3 linked regions of the Drosophila melanogaster genome follow. The protein of the gene in region 3 interacts with the protein of the main gene of each other region in a biochemical or structural test. Each region holds a gene or a part of one and is shown on either strand. Other genes may lie near its edges. The genes, in order: Taf1, Chro and His1:CG33825.

What was found.
Region 1: of the proteins of His1:CG33825 (region 3) and Taf1, one has a biochemical effect on the other in vitro, tested with the Drosophila melanogaster proteins (one study listed by BioGRID).
Region 2: the proteins of His1:CG33825 (region 3) and Chro interact in far-western blotting, tested with the Drosophila melanogaster proteins (one study listed by BioGRID).

Annotation. Positions count from the first base shown.
Region 1 is NT_033777.3:6,644,846-6,649,965, forward strand, and holds the start of Taf1 (TBP-associated factor 1), read left to right. Parts: upstream 1-2,043; 5' UTR 2,044-2,144; coding exon 2,145-2,326; intron 2,327-2,448; coding exon 2,449-2,756; intron 2,757-2,819; coding exon 2,820-3,083; intron 3,084-3,137; coding exon 3,138-3,349; intron 3,350-3,414; coding exon 3,415-4,040; intron 4,041-4,099; coding exon 4,100-4,480; intron 4,481-4,535; coding exon 4,536-5,120. UniProt on the Drosophila melanogaster protein: TFIID is a multimeric protein complex that plays a central role in mediating promoter responses to various activators and repressors. Largest component and core scaffold of the complex.
Region 2 is NT_037436.4:22,873,171-22,881,066, forward strand, and holds Chro (chromator), read right to left. Parts: upstream 5,815-7,896; 5' UTR 5,464-5,814; intron 5,056-5,463; exon of another isoform or gene 4,849-5,055; 5' UTR 4,825-4,848; coding exon 4,767-4,824; intron 4,706-4,766; coding exon 4,280-4,705; intron 4,219-4,279; coding exon 3,287-4,218; intron 3,221-3,286; coding exon 1,954-3,220; intron 1,530-1,953; coding exon 1,432-1,529; 3' UTR 532-1,431; downstream 1-531. Other genes in the region: CG11109 (uncharacterized protein), read left to right, coding at 1-518; Ssl1 (suppressor of stem-loop mutation), read left to right, coding at 6,196-6,260, 6,314-6,655, 6,708-7,617.
Region 3 is NT_033779.5:21,469,348-21,472,889, reverse strand, and holds His1:CG33825 (histone H1), read right to left. Parts: upstream 1,632-3,542; 5' UTR 1,473-1,631; coding exon 702-1,472; 3' UTR 609-701; downstream 1-608. Other genes in the region: His2B:CG33894 (histone H2B), read left to right, coding at 1-295; His3:CG33824 (histone H3), read right to left, coding at 2,873-3,283. UniProt on the Drosophila melanogaster protein: Histones H1 are necessary for the condensation of nucleosome chains into higher-order structures.

The sequences.
Region 1 (5,120 bases), on a different chromosome or scaffold from region 3:
TAGCAACTTGGTTAGGCAAAACAGATTTTGGACACGTCGATAAACGCCAAAAATCTAACAAATTCGAAAAAAATATTTTATTTTAGTTTTGCTATCTATCAATGTTCCATCCATATTTTGATTTAGCTGCGTAGTATCTGATAGTCGAGGTAATCGACTAGAATTTGTTTCCTTATTGGACGATAAGAAATTTTGTACCGTAGGCAAGCTAAGTTTACATACCCTCTCAAGTAAAAACATCTCATGTAATTTTACAATATTGTCCGTATGAACGTGTGACCCTCCATGTCCCCCCATGCCCCGCCATGTCCGACCGTGTCCCAATGACGGGACTTGGCTTGGTGCGGGCTGACACGAATCTCGATCTATATGTGGATATTAGTAAACACATGTATGGAATGTCATGGAGTTCTCCTGATAATCGTGTTGGTGACAGGTAACAGCAGTGCGTTATACAGCGAAACAAGAACTATAGATTTCTTTAAGCATGGAGATGGCATATCCAGAGCCATTCCATTAAATATTCCCCCTCTAGGTAGACCTTTCTAAAAGCTATCGCAGGCAGTAACCCTCTAGTCCTCGTCCTACACAAAAACTCGAATATCAAGTGCGACATTCTGAGGGATTGTACTGAAAAACACAAGATTCACTTTGCTTTTCGCAGCCACTTTCTCATCTTAATGATCATATTCTTTCTGCAACAGCGTAAATACTTGCCACCCATCTCCAAGCTTCAAAGTGGCTTAAGTCCTGATCACGGTCGGTATACGTAAATATACGTATATTTATTTTTATTATATCATTCATTCAGCGTGGATAATTAAGTTTCGAAAATTTAATTTGAGGCATTTTATAATGAAGGGAAATTCCAAAAAGACGAAACACAAAAAAATATTCGATTTTTACTAGTCTACCTTTAAATTTTCCCACTTTGTGGTTTTCCATATCTGGGAACAGAAGCCTTGGTAAAGGTAAGTTATAAAACATATAATTAATTTGAGGTACAATGAAGTCGGTCACGGAAAGAGATTAGCAAAAAAATGTACACAATGGCATTGGTTTGTGTCCTAGAGAAATGCTGCCTTGAATTAAAATGATTCTTTAGAGTTTAAGCCATGAAAACGAATTTTCAGCCGGTTTAATCATCAGAAATACATTTTATAACGAAAATCTATTGAAAAACCATAGATTCATTTGATGTAAAAGTTTCAGGATCGGATTCTTGAAGGTGACTAAATTTGTGAGCTCAGCGTACTCTTCCTTTAATCCGTTCAAATAGTTCAAAGCCTGCATATAAAAATCCTACATTCCCATGCAGTTCTTTGGTACAAATATGACAATTTGTGACAGTACAAATCCCAAAGTTGTGGATAGTCTCTTCGAGATTATCATTAAAACGATTCTCAGCTAGAGAAAGCGCAGTTGGTAAAATCGTTTGAGTAAAACCAAGTTAAGAAGAGACTTCTGAAAATAAACATATATATATTTATAATAAAAAATGAATAATAAGAAATATATAAAAATTGATGGTTTAAGTTTTTGCTATCTGAAGTAGTTATGATTGTTTGCTACAGATTTCTGTAAAATCTGAACAACAATAGAGAAATATAGCTCCTTCAACGTTACAAAACCGTAACACAAATGTAGGTCTGAGAACTGTAATTCTAAATTGGCATTGTAGTGCTTATGTATGCCCATTTTTTCTCCAATGAGCGTTGAATAAACTATTTTTGGCTGAATAAAGTTATATTTTGATAGAAGCTGAACAAAAGTGATCGTGTTAATGGTGTTTACAGAAGTTCTATTCAGAAATATATAATTATACAAATGAAATGTACGAATATCAAAGGAATATATATTTTTTAATAAAAATCCACGTATGCCATACATGGTACAAAATTGCCAATTAAAAATATTACAGAGCCCTTTTTGTTGGACACTAACCTTCGGTACAAAACGCAATTGACCTTCCCAAGCTCCCAACCCTTGTCCAAATCTAATCGCGGATTTTCTGGTGCCAGTGGGGAGCCATGAGGCATCTTTGCTTTGTCCATCGACGGTCACACTTACGCGTGTGAAAAATGCAATTACACTCCGTCGAAGAAAATATACTTTAGCCGCGTAAACATTGCAAGCCCATAGAAATGGAGATGGAATCTGACAACAGCGACGATGAGGGATCGATCGGCAATGGATTGGACTTGACCGGCATTCTTTTCGGCAACATCGACTCCGAGGGCAGACTGCTGCAAGATGACGACGGAGAGGGGCGCGGGGGCACCGGTTTCGATGCGGAGCTCCGGGAAAACATTGGTTCCCTTTCCAAGTGAGTACACATGCTTGTACATACATATGTAAACCCGGTATCATTCAAATATATCTTAATTCACAAGATATAAGACACTTTTAATTACATTTCCATTCATATTGCGTATGGATTACTTTCAGATTGGGTCTGGATTCTATGCTGCTCGAGGTTATCGATCTCAAGGAAGCCGAGCCTCCGTCGGATGACGAGGAAGAGGAGGACGCCAGACCGTCAGCCGTCAGTGCCAGCGAAGGAATGAGTGCCTTTGATGCGCTCAAAGCGGGCGTTAAAAGGGAGGATGGCGCCGTAAAGGCTCAGGACGATGCCATTGACTACTCTGACATCACCGAGTTATCCGAGGACTGCCCACGCACTCCGCCCGAAGAAACAAGCACTTATGATGACTTAGAAGACGCCATTCCCGCCTCCAAGGTAGAGGCCAAGTTGAGTAAGTAAGACCGTAATCTACAACGGTTTGATGACATTTAATTTAACCAGTTAACACTGGTAGGAGAGGATATTGCTCAAATTTTTAAAGGTCTATGCAATTCCTGTCAAAGTGACACGATTACTTTTGCACCGCTCAGGTTGGGTTCAGACCTATTGCTATACAGAGAGAATAACTCACATTTTGTTGCAGCTAAGGACGACAAGGAACTAATGCCTCCACCAAGTGCACCAATGCGCTCCGGCTCTGGCGGCGGCATCGAGGAACCGGCCAAGTCAAATGATGCATCTAGTCCCAGTGACGATTCCAAATCTACCGATTCAAAGGGTAAAAATTATTTGAAAACAATAGAATTTTTTTGTCAATGGTCATTCCTTTAAGATGCGGATCGGAAGCTGGACACACCACTGGCAGACATACTGCCGTCCAAGTACCAGAATGTGGATGTGCGTGAGCTCTTTCCGGACTTTCGTCCCCAAAAGGTGCTACGCTTCTCCCGTCTCTTCGGACCCGGTAAACCCACGAGTTTGCCCCAGATCTGGCGACACGTGCGCAAACGCCGCCGCAAGCGAAATCAATCCAGGGATCAGAAGGTAGAAGATCAGAGTACTTTTAAACGGGACGGGATCACCAGGAAACTTTTCGTAAACCATTTCAGACGACAAACACTGGTGGTTCGGACTCTCCAAGCGATACTGAGGAGCCACGAAAGCGGGGCTTCAGTCTGCACTATGCTGCAGAGCCAACGCCAGCGGAGTGCATGTCCGACGACGAGGACAAATTGCTGGGCGACTTCAACAGCGAGGATGTGCGTCCAGAAGGACCGGACAACGGCGAGAACAGCGATCAGAAGCCAAAGGTGGCTGACTGGCGGTTCGGGCCTGCACAGATTTGGTATGATATGCTAGAGGTGCCCGACTCTGGAGAGGGGTTCAACTATGGCTTCAAGACAAAGGCAGCAAGCACCTCGTCTCAGCCGCAACTCAAAGATGAACGCCGTGTAAAGAGTCCAGAAGATGATGTCGAAGATCCAAGCATTGCGGATGATGCCTTTCTCATGGTCTCCCAGCTGCATTGGGAAGACGACGTGGTCTGGGACGGTAACGACATCAAGGCAAAGGTGCTCCAAAAGCTTAACTCAAAGACAAATGCAGCCGGATGGTTGCCCTCGAGCGGGTCGAGAACGGCTGGCGCCTTTAGCCAGCCGGGCAAACCGTCTATGCCCGTGGGAAGTGGAAGCTCCAAGCAGGGTTCGGGAGCATCAAGCAAAAAGGCCCAGCAAAAGTAATTAATTGAAAGTTGAATTCATACGTATTTTACACTAATATTTCAATCGATTTTAGTGCTCAAGCAAAGCCAGCGGAGGCACCTGATGACACCTGGTATAGCCTTTTTCCAGTTGAAAATGAGGAGCTAATATACTACAAGTGGGAGGACGAGGTAATCTGGGATGCCCAGCAAGTGAGCAAGGTGCCCAAGCCGAAGGTACTCACTTTGGATCCCAACGACGAAAACATCATTTTGGGTATTCCTGATGACATAGATCCCTCTAAAATCAATAAGAGCACGGGTCCTCCACCTAAGATCAAGATACCGCATCCTCACGTAAAAAAGTCTAAGATCCTACTTGGCAAGGCGGGTGTGATCAACGTGCTTGCGGAGGACACACCTCCGCCGCCACCCAAAAGTCCTGACCGTGACCCCTTTAACATATCCAATGACACGTAAGTCTCTTAATATAATAATGGATGCAGAATGCAGATTTTAATTCCCTTTCAGTTACTACACACCGAAGACAGAACCCACCCTACGACTTAAGGTGGGCGGTAATCTTATTCAACACTCGACTCCGGTGGTAGAGCTGCGAGCTCCGTTTGTGCCTACGCACATGGGCCCGATGAAGCTCCGCGCCTTCCATCGCCCCCCCCTAAAGAAGTACTCCCACGGGCCAATGGCCCAGTCTATCCCTCATCCTGTCTTCCCACTGCTGAAGACCATCGCAAAGAAGGCGAAGCAGCGCGAAGTGGAGCGCATTGCCTCCGGTGGCGGAGACGTCTTCTTTATGCGCAACCCAGAGGATTTAAGCGGAAGGGACGGAGACATCGTACTAGCCGAGTTCTGCGAAGAGCATCCGCCTCTGATAAACCAGGTGGGCATGTGCTCCAAGATAAAGAACTACTACAAGCGTAAGGCTGAGAAGGACAGTGGGCCGCAGGATTTTGTTTATGGAGAAGTGGCCTTTGCGCACACAAGTCCCTTCCTGGGCATCCTGCATCCTGGCCAGTGCATACAGGCGATTGAGAACAACATGTACCGAGCGCCTATTTATCCACATAAGATGGCTCACAACGATTTCCTCGTCAT
Region 2 (7,896 bases), on a different chromosome or scaffold from region 3:
TGCTGCCCAAATTGGGACACTACAAAAGCATAACGGCGCATGTTTTTAACTCCACCGAGGCAGTGGCAGCGGACGCTCCATCTGCACCCGTGGGAGAATTCACTGGGCCTCCGTTTCCATGTGAAAGCTTTGACCGAATCTTGCTCGATGCACCCTGCAGTGGGCTGGGCAACCGGCCACAGTTGTCCTGCAGCATTAAACAGGTTAAGGTCTTGTCCTCATATCCCCATATTCAGCGCCGGCTATTTGAACAGGCAGTGCAGCTCGTTCGTCCTGGCGGCATCCTTGTATATAGCACGTGCACCGTCACCGAGGATGAGTGCGAATGTCTTGTGGCCTGGGCACTAAGAAAATTTGTCGAGCTGCGGCTAACAGATGCCACTCCCCGGTGGGGCGGTCCCGGACTTCCGCTTCCCGGTTTCGAGGCATGTAAATCTCGTCTGTTGCAGCGCTTCGGTCCAAGCGGAGCAAATGCGGACACTGTGGGCTTTTTTATTGCGAAGTTTCAGAAAATATAAATAAATTCAACTTCACTGAAATTTTTTGTTTATTGGGCTCGATAATTTAAACATTCGTTTTGATTTGCAAAAGTAAGCCGGCTTATGAGTGATATAAGTGAGACCTACGCTAGTGGTATTTGATCAAGAAAATTTCAACCCTACGCTTAGAAAAGCATTTGAAAAATGCAGTCTGATAACATTTAGGCTTTGCTCTCCCATAGCTGCTTGTGCTATCTTAATGGAGATACATAATGTTATCTTTTTGTTTTCGAGTTAAAAAGAACTTAAATAATTTACAATTCATAACTAATGTAATTTTACTTAAATCTAAGTCCGTCATTGTTATTTAACGATTCTTGTTAAAAGCAAAATTATGCATTTCGGGAACTTTAAAACTTTCTACGACAAAGATTTACTTAATGATTTTACGAGTTGTAAGTTAAAAGGAAGTCAAAAATATTACCAATCATTGATGGGACCCCGATAAATGCATGTTTTGTTTGTGCTTGAGGAAATTACTAAATATGATGAGAACATCGATGAAGGCTTTTAACGCTGGCGGAATCTCTCACCTTGACTGCAGTGATAATTATCGTAAAACTGCTTGACTCCCACGATAAAATAATGTTTTAAATAAGGTATTCGCATAATTTATTTCATCGTTCGATGCCTTTTGTTTCCCCGGCGCAGCATTATTGTTTCGCTAGACGTTTAGCGTTCTGGTTCCCGGTATGCTTTCGCCAGAATAATATTCACTACTCGCCAAACACGGCTCTCAGTCAGTGCTGGTGCATACTTATGGCCAAGAGAATGGATTGGCTAGGACCAAACAAAAGTGGAAATGGGAAGAACCCACCAACGTCAGGTTCTTTCAATATAATAGTCTTAAGAACTAAGCCTAATTATATGTACGGATACTATTAACATGATTTTACGTTGGGATGTTGAGCGTCTTAAACTGATCTTCGTGCATCTCAGTCATCATGAAGGTTCCATCCTGAAGCAACAAAACAACGCGACGTGTACCTCCTGAAAAAAAACAGAAAATGAACAAGTAGTTAGTTTTTGAAGAATAATCCCCTAAATATTGCTATAATTTTCTATGCAATTCCGATTTATAAAAAAGCTACCCAATGTATAGTTCTGCAAGAAGAAAAGCAAGAAAATGCTATCGACTATCATCTGATAGTATCTACCCCTCGAGAAACAAACGCACTTGCGCTGCGAATATATATCCCTGCTTAATCATTCAGTTCTCTACGTTCATACAGACAGACAACGCTAGATCTGCTCGCTTATTGATCCTGATTATAAATAGAAAATATATACTTTATATCTTCAAAAAGCTTCCTTCTACCTGTTATGAACTTTTATTATTACTCTACGAGTAACGGATATAAAAGCCAACACAAGAAGCTGGCCTTGTCAAATTTTTATGAAAAACACGACTTACCCGGTGAAGGCAAATCTGCCTGTACCACCTCCGCTGGTATCTGGGATTCCGTGCCATCGCTGTCTGACGTCGTGATATGGATCTGAGCTGTGGGTGGCGTTCCCGTTCCAGCGGCAGAAGCCTCCGCTTGTTGAAGCACCTGGTGTTGCGCCAACTCCTCTTCTGTCATGGACACGAGAATCTGTTCACCGTCCGCCGTAGCTGCTCCGACGCCGTGAGACTCGACCTGTTCACCGGCTTGAACGGCTTCGGCCACTGCGTGGTCCAGAGAAAGAACATCCTGGTCTTCTCCCTCTGCGGCTGCCACGTACGCAAATTGCTGTTCTCCATCCGGGCCCTGCGTAACGAGAATAGTTTGTCCCTCCGCATTTTTTCCCGCTACCTGGTAAACAGTGCCGTCCTCTCCTCGCACCAGCAAGGCCGAGCCGTCCTCGTTGGTAAGAACTTGTTGATCGCTGCCCAGAAGGGCCTGTGCCGCGGCTTCTAGCTGCTCTCGTTGTTGCTCCTGCTGTTGCTCCTGCTCCATTTGCAGTTGGGTCTCCTCCTGACCAATAAGCTTGCCGGTGATTGGACACAACTGAGCTTGGTGCTGATGAATCTCCTCCTCCAATTCCATTTGCAGGGGCGTTGGCTGGATTGTTGACTTGGAAACTATTCTTTGCCGGGCAGGAGTCGCTTTCTGTTGTTGACTGGACTGCTGCTGAGACAGAGCCTGTCGCTGGCGTGCCTGGGCAGAGCGCTGAGCCAACAACTCTTCCCGGGTCACTACTTTACGCGTAACTTTCAAGTCCCCTGACTTTGACAGCTGTAAAATCTTTTGCTCTGGCGTAACTGCCTTGGCACCCTGAGGAGTTTGTACTTGTTGGCGATGTTGCGGAGTTCCGACACCGGCTCGTGCAAGGACTCGACCACCCGGGTGAGCCCGGCCGGGCGCCTGCTGCAAGTTTTGACGCACATGGGATGCACCACCCACTCCAGGACGGCGATGAAGTGCTGCTGTTACAGGGCCGTGGCCGGGAGTTCGAAGCGCGTGTTGTCGCTGGCCCACAGTGATGGGCGAGTTAGCGCCCGAATGCGCAGGACGAGCCATTGGCAAACGCTTGGCTATGCCTGCGGCGGGCGGCGCAGCGATCACTTTTTGCGGAACGGGTGCAGGCGAAACGGGTGCCGGTGCCTCGGAATTTTCAACCCGAAAAACGCCTCTTGTGCTGCTGCCCACCTCGGAGCGCGAAAGATACCGCACGGGACACTCTGGTTTCTCCTTTTTCTGCAACGAATTAAGATCATTGTTATTAATTGGCTGCTGCGTAGAAATAGCATTATTTCGTAATACCAAATTTATTGTGTTTGGCATCTCGGGCTTGCGAAACATGCCGGAGCTCGTGCTATCCTCAGTATAGATGATTTCACCCATTTTTTGTTCCGTTAGGGGCGATACCACGGTGGAATTGCCGTTAATTTTAGTCTGCTGCTTTTCCGTGGACTGAATCCGTGGCTTGTTCAACTGCACGGAGCTTCCTCCGTTTTTTAGACGCTTCACGGTATGGGACGGAAGATCCTCTTCAAGGTCCTCTAGGTCCATCGAGTCGTTTAACCCGCTCCCCTCTAAACTTGAGTCTGTATTGTTCAGCTTTCGCTTGATCGCTCCAGAAGATGGTGGCCATTCCTGTTCCGTGGAGGATTCATCTTCGTTTGCCGAGGAAGGCGAGGAGGATCCATCTCCGGCAACGGTTTCATTGACCCACTGCTTAAAGGCATCCATAGCCTTGGTCTTGGAAGTTCGAGATGGCCGAGAAGACGGCGATACCTGCGACGACGCCGGAAGTGGGCTGTGTGGGGCGGCAGTATCTGACTTTGCGTTTGTCCCTGATGACTGCATGCGCTTCAGAGCATCCAGACCCTTCTCCCTAGTAAGTTTTTGGCGTGCCAATTGCTTTTCGAACATCTGCAAAAAGTATGGCACACGCTCGAGATTGGCCATCACCTCCCAGGTGTTTTCATGATGCGAGCGATCAACCCACTTAACCAAATACTCGTGGGTCTTACGGCGCGGATTGAAGCGCTTAGCGACAATCTTTTCCACTGGCTCTTCGGTGCGCTGATCTGTCTTGGAATCGATCCTAATGGCTATGCGGTTGTTCGGCTTCACGGCTCCGGCAGAGGGAACTGAGGAAGGCGTTGGTGTACTCGGCTTGGACTTGGGTCTTTCGTTTTCTGTATCCTTTAGTTGATTGGCTAACGTAGGCAGCTTACCGGTTGGTGATTCTGTTGATTTAAATATAGTTTAATAACAAGTGTGACTTTTATTTAGAATGTTTTGTATTACTTCTGGTAGGGGAGACGCTCGTGTTGTTGTTGTTGCTATTTGATGTGTTGTTATTGTTTGGATTGACCACAGTCTTTGTTATTCGCACAGGCATGTCCTGGAGTTGTCCGTGTGCAATTTTGCCGAATGACTGTATGGTCTTCCCAGCCACAATCCACGGCTCGCGGACGCTATCGTCTAGTTTTACCCAATGCTGGTACAAGGCCCACGAGCTGCCGGACGCGTCCTTGCGCGAGTGCAGCTGAGTAGCTTTCCATAGCGTAAAAGCCCAGATGGTGGGCTTGGGATCGAGCGATTCCTTCAAATTTGCATTTTCCTTTTCGCAGGCGTCCTCTTTGTGGGCCTGAAACTCTTCCACGAAGTTGTAGGCCCGGAGACATCGTCCACATACAAGAACGTCCATGTTTGCCAATTCCTCCTGTGCAGCTGCAGGGCAGAACACAAAATTAACAATAAAAATTATTTACCAATGTTTTTAGTCACTCACCTCTTATAATGTTTGCGTGTTTGCCGATTTCCGTAGGTGAAATCTCCTGTGCCAACATTATTCACGACTCCAGCGCCCAAGCCTTTGAAGAGAGCATTTAAAGTGTGACTTAAAAATAGTGCTGAATGGAGTCTTATTATTTGTTATTGCTTGGTTTTGAAATATTGGTAAACGGCGAAGAAAAAGTACAGTGCCGTGGTGTGTTTGTGCTAACTTGAACCAGGTGGCAACGCGAACGGTCGCTGTCTGCGGTGTGTGTCCGATATGGTGAGTTCAAGCATATGTACATCTGCAATGGGCAAAATGCAGCGGCGCTTAGGCAGCCGAAAAAAAACACTAAGTACATTATGAAAAGAACGAGCCTGCCGCACTGTTGTAGATATATAATATAATAAAACACAGAAAAGCACGAACTATGCGTAATGCGACTTTATTAGTTACTTAAACTTATCTGTTACAAATGCATTTGAACTTCAACACAGCTAAAAATTAAAATAAATAAAACCCTATGGTTCGATCCTATTTGTTTTCATTTAAAAAAAAGGATTACATATAGTTTAAATAATATCAAAGTTCACAATTTCATTTTGCCCGCTAAACCTTGCAGGCACTAGATATAGGCCAGGTATGATTGCAAATAAGCCTATTCCACATATCATTAAATTAAAAGATTTCTCTAGAACACTTTGGTACACACCTTCATAAACAATTTTGGATAAATATCAAACTGAATGTTGTTTCAAACGGTTATTTTAATTTAACTGACTCCCGATTTTTCAACACGAGCAGCTCCACTGCTGCTCACAGTTGTACGCGCGAACTCTGAATGCCAAAAGCGAAATTCGGCTGCACGGAAATTGTCCAGAGATGATTTGGTTCCGGCTGTGCGGACCTTAGAATGCTCTTCTGTGCTAAGCTATTTAAATCCTAATATTACTGGGAGTGTATTGCCTGTCGATAGCTTTAAACTAACTGCAGTCCAGTAAATTTTAAGATTTCGAAGGTTTTTTCGAATATAGTATATGATATAAAACGCGGGTTTCAATGCTTGCACGGTTTTAAGTGCCCAAACTTAGGGTGTAGCGCCCTTTTCAGTTCGCCCGTGTGGCGGTGCACTTAGTTAGCCAATTACGCGTCGTGGTGGGTATATTTATTGATGTGGCAACTTTGGGCGCAATAATAATAATATTGTACTTTTTTTGTTCATATTAGGTAAGAAATTCGAAATTATTTTTTATTATTTCATTTTATTATGTCATTCTTTTGTAGATATTTATTGATATAAATACTTACCCAGGGTTGCCACCCAGTGTATTGTATTTAACGTAGGCCCTGTGTGTACACACTGTTACATTAGCCGGCGCATTTTATTTAGCGTTAATTGCTTTTCTTTCTTGATTTGACTTGGTAGTGCATCAGGACTGCAAGTATGGCCGACGATGAGCAAGAGGACCAGAAGGAGTACCGCTGGGAAACGGGCTATGAAAAGACATGGTGCGATGGTGTGCGTGACAATGTAAGCCCGCACTTACTTTTAATCCTATTAGGGAGGCCATCAAGGACGACGAGGATGGGATGCTGGATGGAGCCATTGCAGAGATCATTCAGAAGGCCAAACGCCAGAGGCAGGCTCAAAAGTCCAAGCAGAACCGCCTGGGCATGATGCGCCACATGTTCGTTGTGCTCGATTGCTCTGAGTCCATGAGCGTGCCTGATTTGAAACCCACACGACTGCGGTGCACCGTCAAGCTGCTGGAGCTGTTTATCGAGGAGTTCTTCGATCAGAACCCCATCAGCCAATTAGGACTCATAGCGCTAAAAGCTAAGCGAGCGGAGAAGGTGACCGAACTTACCGGCACTTCGCGCGTGCACCTCAAAGCGCTAGAGAGGTAAGAACCGAATCAAACCAGCGTTCTCCATTTATATCCCCTTTTTGTTTAGCTTGGCTAACGTGTCCTTGACCAGCGAGCCTTCGCTGCAAAATGGCCTAGATCTGGCCCTAAAATCGCTTAAGGTGGTGCCGTCGCACGCCTCCCGAGAGATCGTCATTATCATGGGCTCGCTCACCACATGTGATCCTGTCGATATTAACCTCACCATCGACGAGTTAAAAAAGGAGGGCATACGCTGCTCGGTTATTTCCCTGTCCGCTGAGATTCACGTGGCCCGCTACCTCACTCAGCAAACAATGGGCACCTTCGGGGCTGTTTTGGATGATGCACATTTTCGGGATCAACTCATGTCTCAGGTAGATCCACCGCCCGCCGCTAAGACTCAGCACAACTCGCTTATTCGCATGGGCTTCCCGCACACAAAGAATGAAGTTGAGGGCAAGGACGCGCCATTGTCCATGTGCATGTGCCACATAGAGAACTTGGAGGAGCCCAGTGAACTGACCACTACTGGCCACCACTGCCCGCAATGCAACAGCAAGTACTGCGAGCTGCCCGTGGAGTGCCAGTCTTGCGGCCTCACCCTGGTCTCCGCGCCGCACTTGGCGCGTTCCTACCACCACCTTTTCCCGGTGCCAAATTTTGAGGAACTGCCGTTTGAGGCGATGCCTGCTTCGTCATCCGACCTCACCAGCGATGTCAGGGAATGTTACGGCTGCGCCAAAGCTCTTGGGCAAGGCGTTGACAAGGTCGCCGATAAAGTCGTCTTCAGATGCGGTTTCTGCAAGCAGTTCTTCTGCGTTGACTGCGACATCTTCATTCACGACACATTGCACGCCTGCGTGGGATGCAACACCATTCCCGGCGTAGACGGTCTGGTTTACCAGCAAAGTTCCAAGTCTGACCAGGTTGATGCACACCCAGGGCCCTCAAAGCAGCGCGGCCAGTGTGGGATGTAACTGACTTTCTATAGATAGATATTTCGAACTTCCACATAACTACGCATTTGGGGCAAACAAAATACAGTTCGTTTCGAAACGGTGGTTATGAGTTGTATCAATTAAAATCTGGTTTTATGCTTAATAATTGTGAAGGCGAGCGTAGCATTATTATGGCCGTTGTGTGAGACCCTCTCAATTGTATTGCTAATTACTTGGTCATAGGCTCTCTGTGCCGCTTCATGCGAACTTGGCGCACTTTTGTCTAGAGCTCGCTTGAGTTCATCATCAGCGTTTGCC
Region 3 (3,542 bases):
AAAGAAGCGCAAAAGGAAGGAGAGCTATGCCATCTACATTTACAAGGTTCTCAAGCAGGTCCATCCTGACACCGGAATTTCGTCGAAGGCGATGAGCATAATGAACAGCTTTGTAAATGATATTTTCGAGCGAATTGCTGCCGAAGCGTCTCGTCTAGCTCACTACAACAAGCGCTCGACCATCACCAGTCGGGAGATCCAAACGGCTGTTCGCCTGCTTTTGCCTGGAGAGTTGGCCAAGCATGCTGTCAGTGAGGGAACCAAGGCTGTCACCAAGTACACCAGCTCTAAATAATTTTCTCCTGCGAATGCGGACAATAATCCAAAACGGCCCTTTTCAGGGCCACAATGTGTTATACCAAAGAAATGCATTTTTCAACCACCAATCATTGAATATGAATTTACAAATAAAACTTATTTACCCGCAATATGGGTAATTGGGTAATGTTCAAATAAATACAAAAAAATCGGGAACGAAAACTGAATGCGACCAACATGCAATGTAATTCATGACATGAAACGTTTTATTGTTGCTGCGAACGTCAGCTAATAAATAAGTGGAAGAAAATAAAAGTTTTTTTCTCTTGCAACGGAACGTTGTAGCCCTGAAAAGGACTTGTTTAAACAAATTTCAGATCTATAAAACATAAATCTAAAATTTTAATTGCGAACATGTACCAAATACTGCACTTTTTCACAATTTACTTTTTGGCAGCCGTAGTCTTCGCTTTCGGCTTCTTGGCGGTAGCAGAAACCGATGCTTTCTTCACCGTCTTTTTGGGTTTTGCAGACACCGCTGGCTTTGCCTTTGACGCTTTCGCTACTACAGCCTTTGGCTTCGCTGCAGTCACTTTCGCCTTTGTTGCGGCGGGCTTCGACTTTATGATTCCAGTTTTCTTGGCATCCTTGGCTTTTGCCTTCTCAGTTTTCTTATTTTCGGCAGTCTTTTTGGTAGCCACAGCCTTCTTAGCTTTGGGCTTTTTGTCAGCAGCCCCAACGGCAGTTTTTTTGGAGGAGACACCAATCTTCTTAGAGGCTACCTTCTTGCTTTGAACTTTTTTCTCAGCAGACAAAACCTTCGACTTTGCCTTCGGATCCTTTTCCTTCTTGGCAGAGGCCGACAGTTTGAAAGATCCAGATGCACCCTTTCCCTTAGTTTGGATAAGCTTTCCATTGACCACGGCCGATTTTAAGTACTTCTTGATGAATGGCGCTAACTTTTGGGCGTCGCATTTATAAGTGGCAGTGATATATTTTTTGATTGCCAGAAGTGATGAACCGCCACGTTCCTTTAAATTTTTAATGGAAGCGTCCACCATTTGCTGAGTTGGCGGATGTGACGGCGTCGCAGAGGCTTTCTTTGCCTTTGTGCCAGCAGATCCAGATGCCTTTTTTTGGACCACTTTCTTCTCAACTGTCGCTGGTGGGGCAGCCACTGGGGAAGCGGACGTTGCAACTGCAGAATCAGACATCTTTTTTTCACTGAGAACACTTTTTTTCTGTTAAAAATGGCTCGCGCTCGGCCTACCAACCTCCTTTGCTCTGATGAGAATCGAGGAGGAGAGCACTTTAACAATGCTACTGACATCAGTCATTTACTATGTCGAAGTTTGCTTGAAGTGTAAACTCTTTTTAATTTTTTAGTATTTTAAATCATTAATAAAAATAAGGTTTTAATAGTTTTACAATTTTAAATAATTTTTTCGTCACTTTCCATTTTTAAAAGGATGTAATATGGGTTTTGAGACTTTCAAATGTTGATTGAATTTTTATATTCGAATTTTTAACTGGACCAATTTATAAAAAAACATCTAATAAAATAAGAATCATCGCAAATATTTCACTAATTCGTAATGTTTATTAAAATTGAAACGTTCATCCCCTAGAAAGGGCTTCTGAAAGAAGCGTCTATTATTAATTAAGATACTTTATCACTTGATTTAAGTTCACATTGAACTACAGAAAAATTTGCTTTAAAGCAGCATTCAGAAATAATTTTCGATCGTTAAAAATACAGATACTTTCTTAAATAACATAATATTAATATAATAAATAATATTTTCTTAAATTATTAATGTGTTTGCTTGTTATTAATGTGTTTTCATGCATATTTTAAAATAATTTGTTCTGAAATCAATCGATTTCCTCGCCACATATGCATTACCGTCTATGTAGTCAAATAAATAAATCAAATAAAAAATAAAAAGAAACAATTTTTGTATTATCCTTTATTATGTAATATATATTACATTCCGCAACAAAATTAACCAATTTCCGTGCTGAATTTTACATAGGTTTTATTTTTTACAGACGTTTGAAGGGACAGTGTCAATTGTCCCGTACGACCTCTTCAATAATAACACATTCTTCAGTTAACACATGGAAAAAATATAAAATAGCTAGTTTTATTTTATTATTTTCTGTTATTTTATAAATATTGCCGTCATCAATGTAATTTCATTAATTTCAAACTGTCTTACACAGAATTCAGATTTTTTTTTTAGATGTTTAAGGTTCAGAGTCCCTTGCCCCGCACGACACTTTCACTGCTTTAAAGGATGTTCGCACAAAGAACAAATAAAAATATATATTTTTGTATTAACCTCTTCTTTAATTTAATAAATGTTGAGCTGACAATTAAAATAAGATTATTTTTATTCCTTCTCTGGCAGAATTAGTATTTTTACATATGATTTAAGACCCAGTACCGTTTGCGCCATAAATAATAGAATATGAATTTTGTTCTTATTTTTTTAAGTTATAAATAGTCGGCCACAGAAAATTTTATCTCATTGAATCTGGTTTGTGGTCCTGAAAAGGACCGATTATAGAGTACGCTAGCGCTTTATCTGCAAGTTAATGCCGTGTCAGCTTAAGCACGCTCGCCGCGAATGCGTCGCGCTAACTGGATGTCTTTGGGCATTATGGTGACACGCTTGGCATGAATGGCACACAAGTTGGTATCTTCGAAGAGACCAACCAGGTAGGCTTCGCTAGCTTCCTGCAGAGCCATAACCGCCGAGCTCTGGAATCGCAAGTCCGTCTTAAAGTCTTGAGCGATTTCACGCACCAGACGCTGGAAAGGCAGCTTGCGGATTAGAAGCTCGGTGCTCTTTTGGTAGCGACGAATTTCACGCAAGGCCACGGTTCCAGGGCGATAGCGGTGGGGCTTCTTCACACCTCCGGTGGCTGGAGCACTCTTGCGAGCGGCCTTAGTAGCCAGTTGTTTGCGTGGCGCCTTTCCACCAGTCGATTTGCGAGCAGTTTGCTTGGTACGAGCCATCTCCGATTTGGGTTTCACTAAAGTTCACGTTCACTACTTCACGTTTGAAAACACAATAAACGATCAGAGCATTTGCTACCTACTTATATAGCAATCCTGGACGGTGAAAGAGAGAGAGAGAGAGAGAAAAACAGAGGCCATTTCATTTGACGAGCGAAAAGCGAACGAACATATCGTTCGTACTCTCTCGGGTTTTTGTCGTTTTACCTATAAATAGGGGCACACAGAAACGTTGAAATTAGTTCTTTAGTGACTTTCG